Linked DNA regions of Bombyx mori. The protein of the gene in region 2 binds, or shares a complex with, the protein of the main gene of each other region. Links are inferred from orthologs where the notes say so. Each region holds a gene or a part of one and is shown on either strand. Other genes may lie near its edges.

Region 1 (4,257 bases), on a different chromosome or scaffold from region 2:
AGGATTCAAGCGTTATTCCTATTCCGGCCCCCGGCTTGGCAGCGACGGATCCATGCGAAAAACATCACACATCTATGTCTAGTCTATAAGATGGTTCACTCGTAAAAGTCAAGCGCCGCCCAACATGACTCTTCATGACAATTCACCCGTCGCGAATATTTATCCAGCTTCCGAGGACAAACCGTAACGCCTTGACCACAAGCCGGCCGGTCACCTGGACCATGATTTCACTACATACCCTCGTGTTAAAAGATTAAATTTAAATCAAGACTTCTGAAATTAAGACTTATTTAACAATGCCTAAACTGGCAGATCTTTACGAAACAGATGCTTGGAAAAGCTTTTTCTTTTTGAAAAAATTATAGGATATTATAGCTATGTTAAAGATACAATAAAGACATTTATTCCATAATCTACAGTAAATTCATAGCAAATGCTATAATCATAATAACGAACGCTTTTTGGCGTGAGCATGAGGTGGTTTGGAATTGTACTGGTATTGTGTGTCTAACCCAGTGTTTTTCCGATGTAAAAATATTGTTCTAATCGTTGAGTATATAAAAATGAACAGGTGGATAAAAATAATCGTAGGATATGGTTTCTCAACCTTTCCCGAAATGTATTGTACATTAAGGGCGATAAATTCCCATTACCTTACAGAATTTTCGAAATTAAAAACAAACTGAGCGATTTTTTAAGGGCTTTTATGACCTGGTAACTGACTTTTAGGTCAAGTCCTATTTTAATTTATATTCTTATATTTTTATGAAAAATGATATTATTGAGTGAAATGAAATGAAATGAAGATGATTAATTTGAGACATTAATCAACTGGGATGAAATTAAATGAAATGGGATGAGATGATATGGGATGAAATATAATCTCAGTAAAATGGTACTCATTTACTGCGATTTTTTCAGTAGATTTTTGGAGGATCCCGAGAAGTTACGTCCAGCAGCTTGATCACATTTTCTTTAGTTGTTCTGCTTTCTCACTGGATAGATTAGTGTTTATTTACCGTCTGCTGTGTATATATGAAAATGCTGAGGATATCCCGCGTACTTTTCAGCTATTAATAAGAAAACAACAAAGTTTTAAGCCAATTTGTGAATTTATAGATTCAACAGTTGGAGATATCTAAAAATGGGATTACAAGGATTTGACGAAGTTATAGCTCTGTCCATAACATTATGATATTTTGTTTACTTTTTTTATTTTATTTTAGCTAAGTTTAAAAAAAGTCTTGGACTTGGATTTAACAGTAAAACTCGAATTTGCCATTTTACAAGGATTGGAAAATATATAAGACTTGGCTTCGGCCTTAATGAAAATTTTATTTCAGGATATAATATATCATATAAGACCTGGCTTCGACTTTTTTGAAAATTTATTTCAGAAATTATATATTATAGACAAGCAGTATAGGCGTAGATCCCCTTGCTTTTCCTAATAAGGAAAAATTGTACCAAAAAAAATAATCTATGGTATAACCTAAATGTGTTTCTAAATTAAGACAAAATTCAATTTTATTAAACAGAAAATCAGAATTTAGGGTTGTTTGCTTGAATGGGACAATGTATTAATGAACGCTTAAAAAGACCATGTAAATATCCCTAAAAACAGACGTCTATTTACAGTTTGTTTGCTTTTCAAAAACATCATCTTTACTTGCAGTAGAAAATGCATAAAATCTTAGAATTCCAAGTTGTCGTGTTGGCCGCTGGAAAAGGTTCCCGTATGCCAGATGTCGGAGGATCAGTTTCGAAATGTCTCCTACCTGTTGGGCCGTACCCAGTACTATGGTATCCATTAAATATGCTAGAAAAAATTGGATTTCAAGGTACCTAACTCAAATTTCATTGCAAAATTTTCTATTGTAAATAATTTAAATTTTTTGTTTCAAACAGTATAGTACTATAAATAATAAAATTCTATAATATACATTATTAGATTATCTAAAATAAAAAGTTTATTCACTGTATGAAAAAGCCATTTTTTGTAAACGGAAGATCACAAAGATGATCTAATGAGGTTTTTTTTTATTGTCACTGTAGTTCTTTATACACACTTCTTCCGAGAGTATGATGGCGTGATGACAATCTTAGTTGCTTGTGGATATTAACAATACAAGCACAGCCAAGATCTTCCTACAAAGATGAGCAGAAACTGATATCTTATAGTGCATAGATATTTATTATATATAGATACTTTATTTCAACAAACCTAGTATAAACTCAACCTAAATATTTTCTCATTAGTAAACAAACTGCAACATCCCTCATTTACAATTTTATTTTTCTCTAATTCTTTAAAACTAACTAATAATCTAATATTTTCAGATGTAATGATTGTGGTACTTGATGAAGATAAGTCTAACATTCTTAATGCACTAGAAAAATGTCCCTTGAAAATAAAATATGAGTTAATTGTAATTCCATCAGAAGAAGACTGGGGTACAGCAAATTCCTTAAAGCATGTTAGTGCTAGAATCAATACAGATTTACTAGTCATATCAGGAGACCTCATTACTAACATAAACCTCAATGATGTACTGAACCTACACAGGAAACATGATGCATGTGTCACCACCTTGTTCTTCAATAATGGTCCTGAAGAGTGGATTGAATTACCGGGACCGAAAACTAAATCCAAACCTGATCGAGACTTAGTTTGTATAGATAAAGAGACTGAGAGACTTGTTTTTCTGGCAAGTGCTAGTGATTTTGAAGAGAATGTGACAATACCAAGATTACTTGTGAAAAAATATGATGCTTTGAGCATATATAGTAGATTATTGGATGCACATGTATATGTAATGAAACACTGGATTTTAGACTATATTGTAGATTCCGAAAAATTTACCTCGATTAAAGGTGAGGTTGTTCCTTACATTGTTAAAAAGCAATTAACGAAACCTAACAACTTAGTGGAAAAGAAGGGCACCTCGGAAAAGAATGCAGAAATTAATAAAGGAATTTTTGACTATGCAATAGAGACAGGTTATGAGCGTAAGATAAGAGAAATATCAGCATACAATGATCATAAGCATGGTAACAAAGGGGTGTACTTTAATGATACTCTTAGATGTTATGCACATATTCCTAGTAAAAATACATTTGCAATTCGTGTTAATACACTATCATCATTTTATCTATCCAACAATAAGGTATGTTTTTATTTGCTCTTTAATATTACAAAACAAATAATCTCCAAATAAGTTAGAACAAAACTTGTTTAATATTGGATTACTTATAAAGATTCAATGGGGTTGCACCATTAATTTAGGAATTTGTATTTGACATTTAAATAACTCATATTGTTGTAGTTTTTTGAACGGCAGATTTTTTTTAGCAATTTCCAATTGGTCCAATCCATCAAGAAACTTCAAAAAATAATGTCAATTAACAAAAAGTGTGTGTGTCCGCTCCGACGCACGACTGGAGTTTACTGGATATAAAAAATTAAACGAAACAATACGAGAAATAGTTCTATATTACGACAACACGATACACTACAGATTATTAACAAATTAACGAGACACAAAACAAACGACTAACAAATATATGAAAATACAATAATGAGAGAAACGCGCGATCAGTACGAGGCTTTGTGGCGGACTGCCGGCGCAGGCGCATAACGCATTTCGTGTGACATGCTAGTACGATTTTGGTCCCCATAATTTTCATACCCATTTTCATATATATGTAAATCGATTCTAAAGGAGTAAACTCCAAAAAACCTTATTTTTTCATTTACATAAAAAAAAGAAGTTAACACTTGCATACATGTAGTTTACAGTTTTATATAGATTGTTATTAGGTAGGCCACCAGATATTATTTTTTTCCCCAAATAACTCACGAAATCATAAATAAAGTGATTTTAATGGCATTTTTAACAGATATTATCAAAATGGCAAGATCTTACTGGATCATCTCTGTTTGAAAGATTTCACCCTAACAGTGAGGTGAAAACAAAACAGATTGATGATAATTGCACTGTTGGAGAGAAAACTATTATTAATGAAAAAACATCAGTAAAAAATTCATTTATTGGCTCAAATTGTAATATAGAAAACAAAGTCAGACTAACAAATTGTATACTCATGAACAATGTGACCATCAAAGAAAGGTATGTATATATGATAGAACTAAATAAAAATAATCACAGATATGTATTTATATATTCAAATATAACTAAAAGATTGTTATTAAAACAACTTTTTACTTGACATAAAATGTTTAAAATAAGATAAGTA
Region 2 (3,981 bases):
CAGCAGTGATAAAAGCTGTGAAGGCGCGAATTCAAAGAAATCCCAAACGTAAGCAGAAACTGGTGGCCCTTCAGATGGGGTTAAGCAGAACCACGGTGAAAAGGGTGTTAAATGAAGACTTAGGGCTTCGGGCATATCGAAGAAAAACAGGACATCGTTTGAATGCTCGTCTAATGGACCTGAGACTGAAGAGATGCCGCGCTTTGTTGAAGCGGTACGCGGGAAAAAAATATTTGGGAAATTCGTTTTCGGATGTAAAAATTTTTAGCGTAGAAGAGAGCTACAACAAACAAAATGATAAGGTATACGCACACAGTAGTGAAGAAGCGAGCAACCGTATTCCGCGTGTCCAGCGAGGTCATTTTCCATCCTCGCTCATGGTATGGTTGGGAGTTTCTTATTGGAGCTTAACAGAGGTACATTTTTGTGAGAAAGGTGTAAAAACGAATGCAGTTGTGTATCAAAATACAGTCCTGACGAACCTTGTGGAACCTGTTTCTCATACCATGTTCAATAACAGGCACTGGGTATTCCAACAAGATTCGGCGCCAGCTCATAGAGCGAAGAGCACACAAGACTGGCTGGCGGCGCGTGAAATCGACTTCATCCGGCACGAAGACTGGCCCTCCTCCAGTCCAGATTTGAATCCGTTAGATTACAAGATATGGCAACACTTGGAGGAAAAGGCGTGCTCAAAGCCTCATCCCAATTTGGAGGCACTCACAAGACATCCTTGATTAAGGTAGCCGCCGATATTGACATGGACCTCGTTCGTGCTGCGATAGACGACTGGCCGCGCAGATTGAAGGCCTGTATTCAAAATCACGGAGGTCATTTTGAATAAACTTTAGTGTCATAAGAATCTATGTTTTGTTAAGTTCATTTTGGTATATGAATGGTTACATAATGAATAAACTTGTTTCAATTATTTTACATTAAACATGTGACAGAATTTATGACCTGACTAGGTATAGTAGTATATTTTGATTTGCAATTTTTTTTTATCAATGTAACATGTAGTCTTATGTTTTTCGAGTTATTAAAGTGTAAATTTTAAAATTATAAATTGTATATAATAATAAAATAAAAAAATCGAATTCGAGTTTTTTCGATTTTTTGCATTGTCTGAGAAGATTTACTATAGTAAGATAGATTTTTTTCACCTTCGGAAAGTATGTAGCGATTTCGAACTTTTTGAAAATAGCTGATATTTTGACGGGTGAATTTTCGATTGAAAATTAGGGTGCTTTTTCGACATTAATTCAAAATAAGGTGAAAAGATTCATATTTGTAATGAAATAAATTACAGCGTATTTGGGACATGAAAAGGTAAGTTTTCACCAAATTTCGTGAAAAAAGATTTTTTTTTTAAAAAGATAAAAATAAAAAACCAAAAACTTGGTTTTTTGAATTTTTCACATAAATTTTGAGGATATGTGAAAAAAGTGTAAATACAAAAGTTTTAGATCTTTTTATTACCTACAACTTTGTGACTTTTTTCCATAAGACTTTTAGTTTTGCCGGAAATCGAGAAAAACCGTTTTTTATCCTACACGCTAGGGTAACGCTGATATAGCCTATCAGCATAGGTAGGAACAAAAAACTGTTTGCGTGTATCGACGCAAGTGTCTCCATTTCCTAACTGTATGGATTGTAAAACTGTGATACCTAGAAGGTAGTCTTGGAAGGTTGGCTATGTGAATTACTATAAGAATAGAAAAATATATTATGTGACGGTAGCAATCATGGATCACAAGATATTTGACAGATGCCTGAATCTCGCTAACGATGATGTCAAGATAACTTTGTAATTTAAACAAGCTCCAAACAACATAAACCAACATTAAAATAACCCTCGACCCTATACCGAGCAATTACACCCGTCACATTCTAAGAAAATAAGGGAGTTTGAGATATCGATAGTAGAATATTAGCTATGTCTCCGATACAGATCGGAGAGATAACTTTAATTATTAAGTGAATTAGTTATGAGGAAAACACAGTTTTAATAAAATTATTTAATTCTGTTCTCAGCGTAATAGTTCCCCGTGGCGAGTTGTAATTCTATACTGTCTGTACGATTGGACTGAATACACAGAACTAAAGGTCCTACAGAATGATTTTGGGGAACAAGTTCACAAGCGGGAACGATATTGCCCTAGCTTATTAATCATAATGCCTTTTCAATGCTACAAATTCTATTATAGCTAATGAATAAAGTAGATAGCGAACTTTTGTGAGCAGCATTTATGAAAATGCTCATTCTTGGGCTCAATGTAAAAAAGTTCAAAAATAAAGTGTCAGTAAGCTTTCGTTTTACACGGATACTATTTAATTCATCTCATATCACATTGATTCGTTTCCGATTAAATTCATTTTCTAGTACTTTCTAGATTACATGCATATATTGTTTAGTAAATGGAGATTTGTTTAAGCTGGAATAGCCATTTAAATTATCAGCGAATAGGTATGGAAAAAAAAGATATGTTTACAAGCTATAAATAATTTTAAAGAAAGCCGTGCATTCCAAGACAAATCCAATATCATATGTTCCAAAGTTAATCATCCATCCAAAATTTTTCATATCCATACGTACGCATTTTACGTATGCAATACGTACTTTATTACTCAGTAAGTACCTAATTATTATAATTGCCTATTAAAAATAATAAAATGATTTGTTTTATTATGTCTATATAATATTTCTTCAGGTTTAAATGTGTAATAACGTTGGTTTATTGACTGTTTAATATCTATGAAAGTGTACAAATGTGCAAAAATGAAACAAAGCCGCTGGACTTAACTTCTCGGGATCCTTCAAACAGTCCACTGAAAAAATCTCAGTAAATTACCACCATTTTACTGAGATTAATTCATCCCATATCATTTCATTTAATTTCATCCTAGTTGATTAATGTCTCAAATTAATCATTTTCTTTTCATTTCATAATATCATATTTCATAAAAAAAATATAATATAATAGATAAGGCTGTATGGTATGATACATTTGCCTTTCTATTTGAAAAAATAAAACTACTATTACTAACTTTCTATGTAGCAATAACCTATTTTCTATTTTCTAAAAAGTAGGAACTAGGAATTGATGAAAATGGAAATGGATAAAGAAAATATCGTACAAGCTGTTGTTATTATGGACACTTTTAACAGTAATTTTTCTCCATTAACAGACAATAAACCAATGGTATGTAACCTGTTTGAAATTTGTATATTTATCTGAAACCAAAATAATAACTGAATGGGACATATTACAGGGTTTTCTTGAAGTTGCAGGCGTGCCTCTAATAGATTATGTTCTAGAATCTCTTGCTTTGGGCGGAGTGGGAGAGGCAATTCTGTTTTGTTGTCAAAATGGACAAAAAATAAAAGAACATGTACAGTAAGTTTTTTTTAATAGTACTAGATAATTAAAAGAACTCATAATGTCAATGATGCCGCCCGTATTGAGTTATGAGGACGAAGTTCCAGTTATGTACAATTTAATCTCGTCACATAAAGATAGAAGCGAGAGTTTTGTGTACCATTATCCCATTTGGGCTTACAGTATGCTTTAACACAGGCAAATTTATACATCTTTGGTGGTTTCATTTTTTTACAAGATGTTATTCTGTCATTGTCGTAGTTATTCGTAAACATGTGTTTAGACATATTTCTATAGTAACATTGGTACTTGTCTGTCTGATTTGAACATTGGCAAAGTGAATCTTTTGGTAAGAGTACACAGGGTGTTTCATCCTGTGTATGACTACATTTTTGCTTAAAAATTAAGCATCATTATTACATACATTGACTGTCAATCCATTTTATGTAGTGTATATTCAATCTGGCAGTGGTGTTCCTGTATTATATGTAATAACATATATACTACATATTATGTTATATGTTACATATAATTCAGGATTGCAGATATGAAGCTAATATCTGAAGTGTTTTAAAAAAAAAGGGCTTGCTGAATGTGGAGT

Evidence for each region. Proteins that work in one complex are often made in the same cells at the same time.
Region 1: the proteins of translation initiation factor eIF-2B subunit epsilon (region 2) and eIF2B-gamma protein are in contact, whole or in part, in a cryo-EM structure (PDB 7VLK), measured with the Homo sapiens proteins. The link is inferred for Bombyx mori from reciprocal best matches to the Homo sapiens genes EIF2B5 and EIF2B3. Residues at the interface, in NP_003898.2 of Homo sapiens: Pro190, Val202, Arg222, Arg223, Phe224, Ala225, Phe226, Pro227, Leu228, Phe231, Gln232, Ser234, Ser235, Asp236, Gly237, Val238, Glu239, Val240, Arg241, Tyr242, Asp243; in NP_065098.1 of Homo sapiens: Arg155, Phe157, Glu178, Glu179, Leu180, Val181, Ile182, Lys183, Gly184, Leu187, Gln188, Pro191, Arg192, Ile193, Arg194, Phe195, His196, Thr197, Gly198.

The regions. Positions count from the first base shown.
Region 1 is NC_085128.1:7,848,552-7,852,808, forward strand, and holds the start of eIF2B-gamma protein, read left to right. Parts: upstream 1-1,457; 5' UTR 1,458-1,604; exon of another isoform or gene 1,605-1,675; 5' UTR 1,676-1,681; coding exon 1,682-1,841; intron 1,842-2,313; coding exon of another isoform or gene 2,314-2,340; coding exon 2,341-3,167; intron 3,168-3,900; coding exon 3,901-4,130; intron 4,131-4,257. UniProt on the Homo sapiens protein: Acts as a component of the translation initiation factor 2B (eIF2B) complex, which catalyzes the exchange of GDP for GTP on the eukaryotic initiation factor 2 (eIF2) complex gamma subunit.
Region 2 is NC_085119.1:8,981,062-8,985,042, reverse strand, and holds the start of translation initiation factor eIF-2B subunit epsilon, read left to right. Parts: upstream 1-1,181; 5' UTR 1,182-1,329; intron 1,330-2,034; 5' UTR 2,035-2,299; intron 2,300-3,011; exon of another isoform or gene 3,012-3,088; 5' UTR 3,089-3,104; coding exon 3,105-3,203; intron 3,204-3,273; coding exon 3,274-3,398; intron 3,399-3,981. UniProt on the Homo sapiens protein: Acts as a component of the translation initiation factor 2B (eIF2B) complex, which catalyzes the exchange of GDP for GTP on eukaryotic initiation factor 2 (eIF2) gamma subunit.